Linked DNA regions of Bombyx mori. The protein of the gene in region 1 interacts with the protein of each later gene in a biochemical or structural test. Links are inferred from orthologs where the notes say so. Each region holds a gene or a part of one and is shown in the gene's direction. Other genes may lie near its edges.

What was found. The genes of interacting proteins can lie anywhere in the genome.
Region 2: the proteins of ring box protein (region 1) and ubiquitin conjugating enzyme form a complex in vitro, tested with the Homo sapiens proteins (8 studies listed by BioGRID). The link is inferred for Bombyx mori from reciprocal best matches to the Homo sapiens genes RBX1 and UBE2G1.
Region 3: the proteins of ring box protein (region 1) and ubiquitin-conjugating enzyme E2 G2 form a complex in vitro, tested with the Homo sapiens proteins (3 studies listed by BioGRID). The link is inferred for Bombyx mori from reciprocal best matches to the Homo sapiens genes RBX1 and UBE2G2.

The regions. Positions count from the first base shown.
Region 1 is NC_085119.1:7,171,692-7,176,347, reverse strand, and holds ring box protein, read left to right. Parts: upstream 1-2,275; 5' UTR 2,276-2,334; coding exon 2,335-2,427; intron 2,428-2,519; coding exon 2,520-2,547; intron 2,548-2,612; coding exon 2,613-2,734; intron 2,735-2,811; coding exon 2,812-2,897; intron 2,898-3,058; coding exon 3,059-3,071; 3' UTR 3,072-3,405; downstream 3,406-4,656. Other genes in the region: histone-lysine N-methyltransferase KMT5B, read right to left, coding at 4,608-4,656. UniProt on the Homo sapiens protein: E3 ubiquitin ligase component of multiple cullin-RING-based E3 ubiquitin-protein ligase (CRLs) complexes which mediate the ubiquitination and subsequent proteasomal degradation of target proteins, including proteins involved in cell cycle progression, signal transduction, transcription and transcription-coupled nucleotide excision repair.
Region 2 is NC_085122.1:9,585,155-9,590,816, forward strand, and holds the start of ubiquitin conjugating enzyme, read left to right. Parts: upstream 1-2,409; 5' UTR 2,410-2,497; coding exon 2,498-2,543; intron 2,544-2,922; coding exon 2,923-3,025; intron 3,026-3,359; coding exon 3,360-3,457; intron 3,458-4,138; coding exon 4,139-4,317; intron 4,318-5,662. Other genes in the region: myb-binding protein 1A, read left to right, coding at 1-1,616. UniProt on the Homo sapiens protein: Accepts ubiquitin from the E1 complex and catalyzes its covalent attachment to other proteins. In vitro catalyzes 'Lys-48'-, as well as 'Lys-63'-linked polyubiquitination. May be involved in degradation of muscle-specific proteins.
Region 3 is NC_085107.1:15,233,875-15,239,655, forward strand, and holds the start of ubiquitin-conjugating enzyme E2 G2, read left to right. Parts: upstream 1-2,528; 5' UTR 2,529-2,920; coding exon 2,921-2,966; intron 2,967-3,036; coding exon 3,037-3,118; intron 3,119-3,283; coding exon 3,284-3,402; intron 3,403-5,781. UniProt on the Homo sapiens protein: Accepts ubiquitin from the E1 complex and catalyzes its covalent attachment to other proteins. In vitro catalyzes 'Lys-48'-linked polyubiquitination. Involved in endoplasmic reticulum-associated degradation (ERAD).

The DNA.
Region 1 (4,656 bases):
CCGTTGTACTGTAGAACTGATACTTAGAATTCAAGTCTCAAAGTGGGTGGCGGGATTTACGTTGTTGATGTCTATGGGCACTGGTGACCACTTAAGATGGCCGTGGGCTCGTCTACCCATCTAAGCAACTAAAAAAAGCAATTAAGCAATAAATAAAAAAGCATCTAAGCAATTAAGCCTAAAATGAATTTTGTGAAACAGATGCTGAGCGGTCAACTGGCCCTCATAATGGCCACAAACGGCTCAAAACATTAACTACGTGTACGGAGTGAACACAATTTTTTTTTGCCTACCAATTGGTAATAACCTCAAGGGGCTATACTCTAGCTAGCTTCACCGAACGTGCATGCAAGATGACAGGGCTCAGCCTGGAAGACTTTATTAGCATCTGCATGAACACTACAAACAAACGCACGATTCTTTATTGGTTTAATGGCATCCGAAACGGTAATTTTAATCAGAAAAATAAAGTTAAAGTCGAAAACTAAAGTCAACAGCGACGAATTAAAGGCGGTGTGGAAGCTGACGATTACTCAATCTATTGCTGAGTCAGCAGCAGCTTTCAACGTTAAATTGTCAAGGTAAAAAAAAAAACTAGATAAGTGCGTGCCGCACGAACTCAACGATCGCCAGAACGATTAAGGCTTTAAAATATTCCTTGCGTTGGTTACCAGACACAGAAACAAAGGGATTTTAAGCCGCACTGTCACATGCTACAAAAAATGGATTCACTTTAATAACCGTAAACAATCATCATATTGGTAAGACCTTGGTTTGGCACTTAGGATATAACCCAAACTAAAACGTAACTCAAAAAAGTCATGTTCAACAGCTTTTTACCACTCACTATGTGAACTGTGAAGAACTGGAAACAATGATGGAGGAGATTTCCGAATCTCCGGCTAGCCTTGGTTAATCACTCGTACCCGCTGCTCCGACACGGCAACGCTCGATCCCATATGGCACAACCTACAGACTCTACACTACAGGCGCTAGGGTTAGATGTTTTACGTTATCCACCACTCACCAGAACCTGCGCCAACAGCTTTCTACTTTTTCCAAAGTTGCACAATTCTTTTTGCAAGGAAAAAATACAATACCCGAGAGGCAGTACAAAATGTCTTTGAAGAGTTTGTTAGCTCCAATGCACGTGGTTTCTTCAAGAAAGGCATTAAAAAATTAGCACGGCGCTTGGAGACATGCATCAAAACCATTGCAACTTTTATTGAGAGAAATAAAAAAATTAAAAAATTACTGTGATTAATGGTTTATATACCGTGATCATGGCGCTTTACAAAAAGGCGAAATTCACTAAAATAAACAATCGTGGTGAGAGCACTATCAATAAGATATAGACATAATCAAGTGACTGGGATTATCCATCAACAGCTTGCTCTGAAATATAGCTTAGTTGATTCTGCTGTACCTTATTACTAATACCAACCTCAGCAGCAAATTCTTAAAAATGGTCATGTAACGCTCTACTGGAATCGATCTATTATCATGGATAGGTCTATTGTTGCCAATAAGCATGTTATTGTTATTGGTCTGCACATCGAGCAATTTTGGTTGATATCACCATCCTCATGACGAGAACCTAGTAAAGACAGGAAAGGACAAATTAATAAAATATTTAGGCCTCATTCACGAGACTATCACCATGTGGCATGTTGATTCAACCATCATTGTTCCAGTAGTTTCAGTACAAAGTTTGATAGTGAACATTTTCGTTATCCAGCTGGGTTGGGGTCTGGTACAAAAATCAGTCATTCTTGATACGGCGCATATTGTGAGGAAGTTTCTCACTCTGGAGACCTAACAGCTTGTGTCGTAGACACCGCCATCGGCGACAATAATCGTTTTATGTAGTGTTTTTTTTAAATAGTTTTTGTAATATTTTTTATTTTATTAAAATACCGTATAATTAATAAGATTTAGATAGATAAGATTTAAAAATACAGTATAATAAATAACACTTTGAAACACAATGAGGTGAACACATTCATATCTGGATGCACTATATAGAAAAGTCGGGTGTTAGTGAAATATGTTAATTCCTCTAATTACAAACGATTTTTCGGGAAAGTTTATTTAACAACTTGGCAACATTGTTAATCTGACAAGCCGATTTTTGGCCTAAAGGTCTAGATACCAGGCCATAATCTTCAAAATAAAAAGCCGATTTTCGGTACTTGTAACACTAATAATGTCAAAAACGTCAAAAAACAAATCAACATGAAGTTTTTAAAATTTCGATTCAGCTGTCAAAAACATAATACACAACCTAACAACTCTTGGTTATTTTTTAATAAAACGGGGTAGTTTAATTTGAAAATGGCTTCTGTGATGGATGTTGATGAAGAAGAAGTTGAAATGGCTTCGTCTAGTAGTGGCAAAGGAGATAAAAAAAGATTCGAAGTAAAAAAGGTGAGGTGCCATTTTGCAAACTCATTGTTGAGCTCTTAATATTGAAAATTTCTTTGTTGTTTCTAGTTTTAATGTAAACAATTTTGTTACAGTGGAATGCAGTAGCACTCTGGGCTTGGGGTAGGTTTCTTGATAATAAAGTTTCGTAACCTCTACATCGTTCTGAACATGATTTTGCTTTCCAGATATTGTTGTCGACAACTGTGCTATTTGCCGAAATCACATAATGGATCTGTGTATCGAATGCCAAGCAAATCAAGCCTCAGCCACTAGTGAAGAATGCACAGTTGCTTGGGGTGTTTGTAATGTATGAGTACCAATTTTGGAAAACACAATCATTATTGACTCAAAACTAATTTATTTAATTGCTTGTTTTTGTTACAGCATGCATTCCATTTCCACTGTATTTCCCGTTGGTTGAAGACTCGACAAGTTTGTCCACTAGACAATAGAGAATGGGAGTTCCAAAAGCAAGTACATTTTATAAAGATATATTACCATATATTCCGTATAATACTTTAATATTGAAATTGGTTGAGTGGTAAATAAATCAATGATAAGGTATCAAAACTTGTTCACATTTAATATAGACAAGATATATTCTATTAATAATATATTTATATTTTTACAGGTATGGTCATTAAATGTCATTTAGAAGAGCTGCATCCTGCACAGGAGTTTGACATCTTCTGAACATAGGGAATTAACATGTCAATATCTATTAAGTTTGTAATAATAAAATAACTCTTACAAAATTCTGTATGTGAATTTTAATTGAAAATTCGTTGAAAATCTGTTGTTCATAATAATCTGGCATAAAAATAGTAAACTCCTATGATTATAAATAAAAATTTTACTTAATGGAAGCAAGTCACTCCAAGATATTCTTGCAAGCACGTTATAAATTACAAGGTAAATAAAAATTACATAAATTACTCAATAAAGTATAAAAAGAATTTTCAGAGGCATTTTATTGTGATATTTATTTAATTATTATTTTACAGTCACTAATTTGTTAACATTGTGGAACTTTTCTGATTTTTATACCCATTCCCAGGGAATATCACAAAAGCTAGTAGCCATAACTAGCAAAATATTATTACTATACTGTACCTTAGTAACATAAAACTAGGCTCATTATGATATACCAAATGAAAGTTTCAATGTTCTAAAATATTGTGAACCACATTTAACAGTCTGTTGTAATATTGGTATCCAAACCCCATTTCATTTGTAAATATTTCACAAAATACTTCATATGAATAATGAATAGTAAAGAAACAAATATTATTTTTCATATAAGTCACTGGCAGATATTTTAAAAAATGCTTAGAATCAAGAGAAGTATTAGTCAAAGTACAAAATGCTTACTCAATTTTGGAGATAAACAAGAAATTTACAAACAACCAACAATCAATACCACAAATTTGCAAGCAAATTTCAAGGTTCAGTTCACATTACACTTTGGCTTCTCTTGATTCATTCTAGTCCTGGACGCTGGCATGTATTTGGATCATTATTTTGGGATTAGATTCAACTGTTACGAAACAATTTATTCAATAGTTTGTAACACTAAATAATTGTAATTGATAAATAAAGGAATAAACAACAACTTTACTTGAAGTCAGCACTCAACAACAATGCTCATTACAAAATTAATCCATGATACCTAGTTCAAATATGTCAGTACTAGTTTTGCTTTCCACAGACAAGTTTTTACATATTAAGTAATCAACTTTTGTCTTTTATCTTTTGCAATGTGGATAACAATTGATTAATAATTTCTCAATAAGTACAATATGCTAACTAATTAAGATCCTGTGAGTTATCATAATTAAGTTAATTAAAATTACCATTACAAAGAACACTTTTTTTACAATTATTTACATGATACTATTAATACACTATAATTCATTTATTACTACGATTTAATTGTAATTTTTGTTCTTTAATGAAAACGGGAAAAATAATTGTGCTAATTAAATAATAATGACATTATTTCACTATTGGATTTAATAAATATTGGAATCATCAAATAAAATCCAAAACCTATCACACAATACTCAAATTTCCAAATTTTACATCACAAAATAAATACTAGGTAAAATAATTCTAGTCAGTGATAATTATACTAATTATTGAAAATAACGGTGGAAACAACAATAAGGTAGTTGCGGCTGTCAGTCTGCTGATAAAGCTGTAGGCAAATCGATAGTGCGACTTTCGTTG
Region 2 (5,662 bases), on another chromosome or scaffold:
CTATAAAGGAGTTAAGGAGTTGTTATGAACACTACAAAAAAGGTAAAAAGAAAAAGAAAGTTATGAAGGATACTGACATTAATGGGAATCTAGAGTGGATTGAAGTCTTAGTGGAAGTTTTGCTATCGATACTGTCAGCTGAGTCAAGTGTACTGAGATCAGTAGTACAGTGCGTATTTAGGCTTTTATGGGAGTATTTAACACCATCAGCTATCGAACAGATTGTATCCGTGTTAGACCCCGAAAGTGAATCTAATCCATTGACTCAGGATAGCGAATCTGAAGCCGAAGAATCAGATGGAGAGGAGAACGTTGAAGAAAACAGTGACGATGAAAGTGATAGTGAAGTAGACGATGAAAATGATGAGGAGGAAATGAAAACGCCAGATCAATTACGGATGGCAGTTCAAAAAGCATTAGGAGCAGCCGCCACAAGCTCTGATACGGAAAGCGTGGACGCAGATATGCTCGATGAAGAAGAAGGCAAGAAATTAGACGAAGCTCTCGCGGAAGCATTCAAACAATACCAGCAAGGTAAAACAAAGAAAACAAAAAAGGACCGTAAAGATAAAAAAGCGCTTTCAGACTTTCGAATACGCGTCTTAGACTTGATAGATATATATTTGGAGAAGGACCCATCTATGGATATTTGTCTAGCGATGATCGCGCCGTTGACAAGATGCCTCGAATTTTGCTTACAGGACAACCAGTTGAGTGAGCTCGAAAACCGCGTAAGGAAAACTATTAAAAATCTGACGAAAATAAGGAAGTTTTCTTCGACAAATGATGTTACTGCAGAAATACTCAGCGACTATCTGAGATCGGTAATGGATAAAGGGGAAAGATCCCACTTTATGTATCAAGCTTTAGGTGATGTCGTAACATACTTTGTGACGTTCATAATACATTGCTCACAAAAAATCGAAAGCAGTAGTTTAAAGTCACCAAAAAAGCTTAAAACGTCTCCCATCATGGAACTGCTAAAGGAAGCAACACAAAACTACTTCCAGAACCGCAGTTGCTTGTTACCAATCATTCTGTTTCACAACGTTCTACAAATGGAATGGGAAGGAATTTATGAGTTAGCCCCGATCGTAATCGAGAATGTGTTCAATCCCGAAGTTAGACAGTTCCGGCGCAACGAGGGATTGGAACTTTTGGCGGGCCTGTATCGAGCCTTGAAGAGAAACAAACCCGAAACGGATAAAGCGCTCGCTTGCCTAGATAATTTGGAAAATAAATTTGATATTACATTAAGAAAAACACTGAAGGGGCAACAGCAATTGGCTGTCAAAAACAATTTCTTCCTATTACTAAAAAAATTGATAAACAGCATGAAAATTTTCCACGAGAGCTGCCATGTTAAATGTAATTTAGATTTTAATACTTTGTTAGAAATCGTAGGTTCTTGTAAGGGTACACTAAAAGCGAGTGAAAATAATAAGAAAGCTAATGCGATTAACCAAAATAGTAAAAATGGTGAAATCGCGAGTAAGCAGCCTAAAAAAAATTTAAAGAATAATATAAAAAACAAAAGAAAACTAGAACACATGAACGGACACGCTGATGCGCACGGAAAGAAAAAACGAAGAGATTCTGAAACAGTTGATTTGTAAAATATTTTTTGTATAATTTATCATTTTCACAATGAATATAATTATTTTACATAATTTAAAAATTTCGTCTTTCTTTCTTCCCTTTAGTTTAGTAAAATATTAACTCAAAATATGCATTCAAGCTTTGACTACCTAACTTTGGATATAAGTTATTCAAACATAATTTATTTAAAACCAAAGCTAGTATGTACATAGCGACATCTATAAAAAAGGTTATTACACTCTGTGAAACGCTCAATAGGTGGCGTTATAAATATCCGCTCTGAGTTACTAGACCAAATAAAGTTATTAGAAGATTGAAGTGTGGAACACATGAAATACCATTGTTTTGGATAAAATATTTCTTAGTTTTTAAGGGCATGCACTTTGTGACAGTTAAGGGATTCAGTAACTAGACTAGACTCTAATACTTTTAAGTTTTGAACAATAGCTTCATTTCTTTGCCTCCTTAAAAATTACAGAAAATGTTGACTAATCTCATCGCATTATTTAAACCTAATCAACAGAATTGTCGTAATCAATATGAAGTTTGGCGTGTAGAAAGGCTCAAACGAAGCGATATGTTTTCTTAAATTCACTAACTTCTTATGACAATATAATACAAAGCATTTACCAGAGCTCAAGAGCTTTCCTACGTTACTTAGATAGTAAAAAACAATATTGAAAGAATAATAAAATTATATTTTAGCTGTAAACCAAACCATATAATTAAGATTAATCAGTGACAGTAGAATGACACAGAAAATATATGGCAACACAAAATCAACCGGAAGTAAGTAGTAACTCATATGTTTCACAACCTGCTCAAAACTCTGCCAGCCATCTTTTGTCGAAAAATCATTTGTTTCGTGTCTTCAGGGTAAATTTCACAATTGTAATTAATGTCAGAGCCACAGTCTTCGCTTTTATTAAAAAAGCAATTAGCTGGTAAGTTCTTATTTAACATAAAACTCATGTATAATATGCCAGTCACCGCGCTAGTCAAGTTCTGAACGAAATTCGTTGACCTTATCGAGTCAAATTTGGTAACTATTAATTGTAGTATTTAACGCATTTATAGATTATATTTCAGGTCTAATGGAGTTAGGTTAATTAATGAGGAATAAACCTGCCAAATAAAATCAATATCCGTTGCGATGACAGGTACACTTTGCCAAAGTCAAACTGTAGATCGAGTGTATTTACGATTTGGATTTGGCAAAGGTTCACATTACTGGCGAACAATGCGGTTAAATGTCCATAATCTTCCGATCTGTGCATTGTCGTTTGTAAAATGAGTGTCTTTTAAATCTTTTTTTTATTTCAGAACTGAACAAAAACCCAGTAGAAGGCTTTTCTGCTGGCTTAATAGATGACAATGATATATACAAATGGGAAGTCCTCATTATTGGTCCCCCAGACACACTATAGTGAGTAAATACCCAAGTTATATATAGTTCAAAGCTATATCTCTCAGTAATCACTATTATTAATTGTTTGCATATTGTAATGTTTATAAAAATGCTGGTGGTATGGTGTATAGCCTTTAAGATGTGTAGATGTATATCATCCTGCATATTTTTTGAAAGAAGCTTCAAGTTATTCAGTTCTGATGGTTCAAGGCAGGTGGCAACATTCACATTGTGATGTCTAAAGACTCCTGTAACCACCATACAGGCTGCAAGTTTTTTAACCATCTATTTAATAAAGAAAAGTATTAAATTATGAGACATGTTGTTTATTCTTAATAAAAATAATTTTCAGCGAGGGAGGTTTCTTTAAAGCACATTTAAATTTTCCCAAGGAATATCCTTTGAGACCACCCCGGATGAAATTTGTGACTGAAATATGGCATCCAAATAGTGAGTATGATGATAATTTTTTTTAGTTAATAATAGTAGAGTATTTTTAACATTTTAAGTTTAGATTACTTTTATATTGACTTAAAGCTAAACAAACCCATTAAGTTTGTTTTGCGAGTGCTTATCATAAATTAGATGTCTAAGTATTTTTTGTTTTGTTTTGATACACTGAATTAGAGAAATATAGCATTACTGTAAAGTGCTTCACTCATTAAAATCTAAGGGTAATTTGATTGGTACAAATTCATTATGATTACAGCTAATAAATATTGTATAGAAAATAAATATGAAAACTACAGTATTTATAATTATTGAACGTATTGTTCATCCAAACGAGTCTGTACTGTCCTGACTATTTCTGTTTCAAAGCAGTGTCATTCAATACAATTGAGACTGACTTGATGTCTAAAACTGGATAATGACATTTACAAAATGGGATCTTCACTCTGGTAACTATAACACCAGGTGGACCATTACACAATTGACTCCATATATCCAATAAATAAATAAGAGTTTAATAAAAAAGCAAAGGTGAACTTCTTAGTACCATGGATTTACTATGTGGGTGCCTTCTATTATATTTTAGAGAGGAATTTATGGTGCAGGTTTAAGGAGTCCCTACAAATGTGGATTACACTCGAATTATTTATGTAATTAATGTAATGAAAATATGACTTTCAGTTGATAAAAATGGTGATGTCTGCATATCAATACTTCACGAGCCAGGTGATGACAAATGGGGTTATGAAAAAGCTTCAGAACGATGGTTACCTGTGCACACAGTTGAGACTATACTGATCAGTGTCATTTCAATGCTCGCTGATCCAAATGATGAGAGTCCCGCTAATGTTGATGCTGCAGTAAGTGGTTTTTTTTTTGCACGTAAAATGTTTCCATTTTAATTCAATAATTTCATTGTAGTTGTAAATGTTTTTGTTATAGAATATTATATTATATATTACTTAACCTATTAAATGCATTTGTAGCAATTTATATAGCTTAGAGCAGGCAGAACATGATGCTAATATACCAAATAGTTGATAGGCAAACTGTTGTTTGTGTTGTAATGTCCAAAATTAAAACTGATATTTCAGTTCGCTTTCTTTAATTGAATTTAATAATTTAATTCATTAATGAATGAATTCACGAATGAAATTTAATTCATTAATATTTAAAAATTAATATCATTTTAAACTTTCAGACACACATTTGTATATCATTAGGGAATTAAGCAGGTAGCGATCACTAACATATTATTTAAACACATCACACACAAAGACACTACTTTTGTACTAAGAGAGGCATAATATAATCTTCCCTAACTAGATATCTTTACTATTCTCGATCATTATTTTTCTGAAGTATACCTTAAAATTTTGGATATGTATATTTTTTTAACTCTTGGATTTCCCTAACAAAGAAATAAAATATTTATCAATACAAAGTTGTACTTTTATCTATAAAATATAAAATGCTTCTGTAGGAATAATTTGTATTATGTAGATAGTTGATTTAACTAACTCTCTTGTACAAACCTTTTTTTTTATTGCTTAGATGGGTAGACGACTCACAGCCCATCTGGTGTTAACCTAGCAATGCTCAGAAACAAATTATGCATAAGCAAGATATAAGCCAGGCAAAATTCAAATTCAATCTTAGTACAATTATTCAAACTGATAGAGAATAGAAACTGTTCTATAAATATAGAATCTGAACATTTAATATGTGGGCGTACATACCTTTACGCACATTGAATTTGAATGTTATTTTTAAACAGTGACACTATGCTTTTTGTTGTGATTATAAGGAACATTACAAATATACTGATTTATCAAAACTGTCCACACCCCACCCATTGTACAGTTATGACTATGCCACACCTCTGCAGAACCAATGACAAGTGTAAGGTTTCAACTCACAATATATAATGATTTTTGAACACAGAAGTAGAATAATGAAAGAAAATTTGAAAAATTTATTTTAATATTTGCTCAATTGAGAAGGTTATAATTGATAAATTTTGTTTTGAAGTATTGAAGTATAAATTAAGTATTTTGGTTCATCTTTTCAAAGAAATAATAAGTCTTTCATATGTAAACATCACATTTTTATGTTATCTAATATACTTTATATATTATTAAAAAACCTCATTCATCATCATTTCTATAATTGTGTTGTAATACTGTATTGTAAGCTACAGACGTA
Region 3 (5,781 bases), on another chromosome or scaffold:
TGTTTATTGTGTGTATCTATGAATGTCATCTGGTGCCAAAGTAGAATTTTGTTTTATTTTTATTACCTACATATTTATACTAAAGTATACATAATATGTGCGATGTTTATTTAAATATGTACCGGTAAAATGGGGCGATTAGGGATTGAAAGGCGAATCGGGAAAAAACCGGGAAAATCTTTCGACGCTCAATATAAGTTTTATATTCGTTGCAAAATCTTCCATTTTTTGTAGTTTAATAGTAGAATGTTGAAAGTTCACAAAACAACTCTGAATATGCATGATAATAGCTGCTAACTTATAAAAAATCGCGTTTCAAATTAACTTCCTGTGGTGGTAATTATTTTAGTGCTAGAAACTTTGCTCTCTTTTATTTATTTGATAATAATAGAAGACGACTATGATTTATAAACGTTATTTAGTGTTTGAACCAGCATATATATTAAAGGTAAGTCTCAGTTGTTATTGGTTTTAATGTATTTGATTAAATAAAAATACATGTAAAAATCTGTTGTTTTTAGGGATATTGGGGACGTCTTAGGTACAAATAACAACGAAAAAGGGGTCAATTGGGATGACAATACGTGAAATGGAAACGACCTAAGTATAAATAGGTACAGGTTTGTAGGGTTGTCTATGTAGTTATAACAATATTTTTTAAATTTGTTGGTAAAAATCTGGTTTATTCGAAGCGAAATTGGGAATAAGTCTTTAGTTGAAATAGATAAGCAATTTAATATAAGTAAGTCGATTTTGCAGAGACATGTAACAAGATCAATAAAATCTCAAGGTGGACAAAAATGTCTAAGTAACACTTAATAAAATATTTAATATTTGTTCAGAGTGGGGGTATTCATCTGATTAATCCATGGAATAACCGACACACCTAATCTCTTAACCCAGATAGAAATATCAGCACTGTCGATTGCACCTATAATTGAGGTGATGTCTGCCATGTACTTTTGTCAGTTTTTCAATTTTTTTTATTGATGATCACTTTGTTGGTGCAACTAAATAAATAAATAAATTAAAACTATATATAAAAATAAAAGTAGTGCCAACCCTAGCAAATTTCTCATTTCGTCCCAATTAACCGCAATTTTCGGGTAAATAGGGATTACACCTATTTTTGCATTTTTTGCTTAAACTGGAATGCTAGTTGCATAATTTTAAATTAGACAACAAAGATGCCCCCAAGACTCAATCATTTTGATCCTGATATAGCATTATATACATCAACAACTACCTTAAAATTGCTCATAAAGTTGGAATTTGTCCCGAATCGCCCCATTTTACGGTACACAATGTAAATAAATTTGATTTTCCTGAAGTAACAATCTAAGGCGAAGACAACCATAGACTAAATAAAGATATTAAGCTCTTAATTAATTGCCTTTATAAATATGCACATGATGGCGTCGCGAAGCAATCCAAAAACGTGAGATTTTTATTGTCTTACATTGAATGTACATATATAACGCAAATGACATTGGTAATGTTTTTGCGTAATAATTTTCATTAAGTTAAAGTGATGGTCTTAGAAGTCACCAACACTGTTGTTGTTATAGTTCTAGGGTACCCTGCTGGTACAAAGGGCCATCACAAGCTGTCTCCACTTGACCCTGTCTTGCGCTTGCTCCTTGATATCACTCAAGGTCATACCGGCAGTCCTCGTTCTCTACGGTGCGTCAATAAGTATACTTAGGCGACCAGGTTTTCTCCTGCCACGGGTTGCCACTCAAACACGATTGATGCTGCGTTGACTCCGCTGCGCTGTAGAGCGTATCCTATCTATGCACGTAGCCATTTCCAGTGGGCAATGTCTTGCGCTATGGGGGTTTTTTGACATTTTTAGTCCAGAGGTCTTTATTAAAAATAGTGAAAATAGTGACTAGCCAGAATATGGAGAGTATCGACCTCAAGCACCTATTTATGAAACCAATGGTAATATGTAATATTATAAAACAGAACCTACTTATCTCTATTTTCGATAGCAATTTCCTTAAGAACAGTTGTTGTAGGTTGATAATACTGAGGACGATATCGTTATTTTTTAATTTTTACCGTCACCCAATGAACATAAAAATAAAAGATCGTTGATGAATAAAAAGTCACGATGACAATCTTTAGGACTTTGTTTACAAATACAAATATTTGAATAATATATTATTTCTTACCGAGTAGTATAAAAGTGTATCCGATTCAAGTATCTTCTTCTCATTTCAGTATAGAAATCGGATTCTTTTTAAATCATTGTAGCTAACGTCGAATTTATATTTTCTTCAACTTTTATTAATCTTATACAAATTTTTATGAAAATTGAAAGAGGGCACAATGAATTGATGTGCCTTATCAGGTTTTTCCAAGCAGTTAACTGAAGTATTAATAAATTCTAACACTTTGTCCCTTTTTAGGGAAATTATTTCATCAATTACGTCTAATGGTTTTATCTAATAAACATGGCATCATCCTTCAGTTGCAAACAGCTAGGTTGTTTGTGATTGTTTCCTTTGCCGGTATATTAGAATATTCCAACGATAAAATCTGAATTCTGATGACAGAGTCAGACAAATCAGAGGGAAGTCAAAAACAGGGTACAATACTTTGACTTCGTATTTTTAACCAGATTAAGTTTCCATTGAAATACGTTAACAATTCATCAAATAAAAACCCCAGTTTAATCCCAGAAAAAAAAAGAACGATAAGACAAGTATAAATAGTACTTTGAATAATTTCACTGGGCATTAAAGCGTTCTCTGTCGTCCTCATTAACTGCATTGGATTACATTAACTGTTAACTTTATTCTCGCAAACTGAGATCATTCCGTGCAGTATATTGGTTATTCAGTGTGCTCTCGAACGCCACTGAGTAAATTTTTGGCCCCAACGTACCATTTTGTCATTCAAAATTACGGACCAAATGATGGCTGGTTCTGCATTGCGGAGGTTGATGGCAGAATATAAGCGTATGTAAAAAGTAATATTTTTTTTGCATTCATGTAAATGTACGTAATTCTAATAGCTTTACAATTTCAGAATTAACAGTAAATCCGCCGGAAGGTATTATAGCTGGGCCTATAAATGAAGATAACTTCTTCGAATGGGAAGCCTTCATAACGTAAGTAAATAAACATATTTTCAGTAGTATACTTTATATTTCAGCTCTGATATCTTTCCGTTGGTATAATTTAAGTCTAAATTACCTAACAAATGTATATACTGGTGTTTTTACAATTTAATTTTCTTTGAAAAAAAATGCTGCTTTATTTATTATTTATTACAGAGGTCCTGAAGGCACGTGTTTTGAAGGTGGCATTTTTCCAGCAAAATTAGTCTTCCCACCTGATTATCCATTGAGTCCTCCAAAGATGCAATTTTTGTGTGAAATGTTTCATCCGAACAGTTAAGTATGCAAAGAGATGTCAATGAATATTTAGATTAATATTTTAATAACGATTAATATTTAGATAACGATTAATATTTAGATAATTTATATTACATACCTTAGGTATTGGAATATAAAAACAATAATGAAGTTATTATGACTAGTTTTACAGTTGAATTTCACATTTTTTATTGTCATTTGTTTCTGATATTTCAAATATTTTACAGTTTTTGTGGTCTAAGACGACTATGGTGTTACTTATCAATATTGGAATATTGTGGTTATGATATTTGGTGCTTATCTAACTCCTGGGATCCTTTTAGCGTTAAGATGAAAACCTAAGTCAAACAAACTGCCAAATCTGGAAATACTATTACAGTCAAAATCTGTTATAACGACATCGAAGGGACTGCTCATATTCAGTCGTAAAAACCGATAGTCGTAACAACCGGTAATGTTTAATGTGTATCGTGCAAGTACAAACAAATCGATAGGGAATTATTGGAAAAATATATTTACAAAATACGCGATTTTTCTTCAATATTAATTTGTTTTCTTTTTCTTTGCGACATTTTGAAAGTTTCACGAATAACTCCACAAAGTTTTGGTGCGTTTTGTGTATAGATAAGTAATAAACTAACTGTAGAGATATGAAGAAGCGGTTTTTGACCTACTGCATGCACGTGTTTTGTTTCTAAGAATTAGAAAAGACCCTACACTAAACTAAATCCTATTGTTTTCTTTCCTGATTTTAATAGCCATTGAAGACAAATGTGGATACCTATTCAAATTGTTTACAATACAGCTTAGCCGGTCGTTCTAACAGATCTAATTCTCCGAAATATTAGTTAAATGTGGTCGTTTTATGAGGTATGTCGTTATAAGCAATGTTGTATAAAGCAATGTTTTTAATAAGGCGGTCATATGGCATTCAGCGGGGACCTTTGTTCTAGGTTGTTATAACCAGCATGTTGTTCTAAACAATGTCGCCGTAAACGGTTTTGACTGTAGTTCATTTTGTGTGAAGTCAAATCTAAAAGTCTAGAAATATTTTTTATAGATAAAATAGTTGTTACTATAATATTCAAAATCAACAAATAACACCTTGGTCATCTGTAAACACAAACACAAGATTAAACAGAAATAAATAGTCTTAATTAAGTCTACAACTTGTAGTAACTAAAGAAACAAGTAGTGATTATGAATAGTAATTTGCTAGGCCATACAGCCTTAACTCAAAATTATTTTAAGTAGGCATTCTCTGATGCCTTTAAATGGTTAAGACTAATATTATGAGCCTGATCCAAAATTTACTATCACATCTGAAAAGAAGTGTTAAGTTAAGTGGTTGGCTTTCTATGCATTCTGTTCCTTGCCAGAAAAAAATTACATATTATTATATGAATATGTAAATATAATAAAATTCAACACTACTTGGTTTTACCATTCACATTTTCTTTACAGGCTGTAAAATCATCCCTATTAAAGTATTTTTAATTTTAAAACCTCTAAAGTATAAAGGCAAAAAAAAGCCTTTGGGTTTTTTGTTATAATAGGTTATACCTTGCTCAAAGAATAAAGAAATATTTGGACATTTGTAATGCTTGCGTACATTATTAAAATGACTAATAAAGTATTCCATAATCCAGAATATAAGTAATTCATATAATAATAACTGATCAAATTTGACTTTGACTCACTGGTGCGGTAGTTAGCAGTCCTTACTGTTGCACCAAGGGTTGTGGGTTTGATTCCCACATCGGGCAAACATTCGTGTGATGGAGAGGTTTGTTTGTTCTTTTTCTGGGTGGTTATTATCTATATATGTATATATTTAAATGTACCTAAGTATTTATGTCAATTTCTGGTACCCATACCATGGGGAATCCTAATTTTGGGCCAGATGACTGTTCGTGATATATTCCCAGTTATATATTTATTTATTCCTCTGCAATGTAAGGTCTTCTGCATAGTATGAATGACCTGCCCTCTGTAACATCCTCTGAGACAAGTTTGACAAGGTTTTTGCTATCTGGACTCGCTAATCTCAAAATTTCAGTATCTGAATTGTCACAACTATAATGTGGTCTTAAATTGATTTTATAAGCATAGCACACTCCATGATTCTTTAAGTGACTTGCATTCTAGTGAAAGTATATTAGGCAAGTGACTATAAATTATGACCAGTGAAGATAAGTTGGTTGAAGGATTGACATTTTAAATTGAACAGAAAATTTATCCAGAATATATTTCTCAAAGCACCAAAATCATCCCAAGATTTTGTTACTGTTCTAGTTTCTATCAAGTAGTTTGAGGCAGACATACCTGTACACTTTTTTTATTGTTTTTTAATGCTCAGTAATATACGGTCTAAAATGGTGTTTCTGTATCAAGAA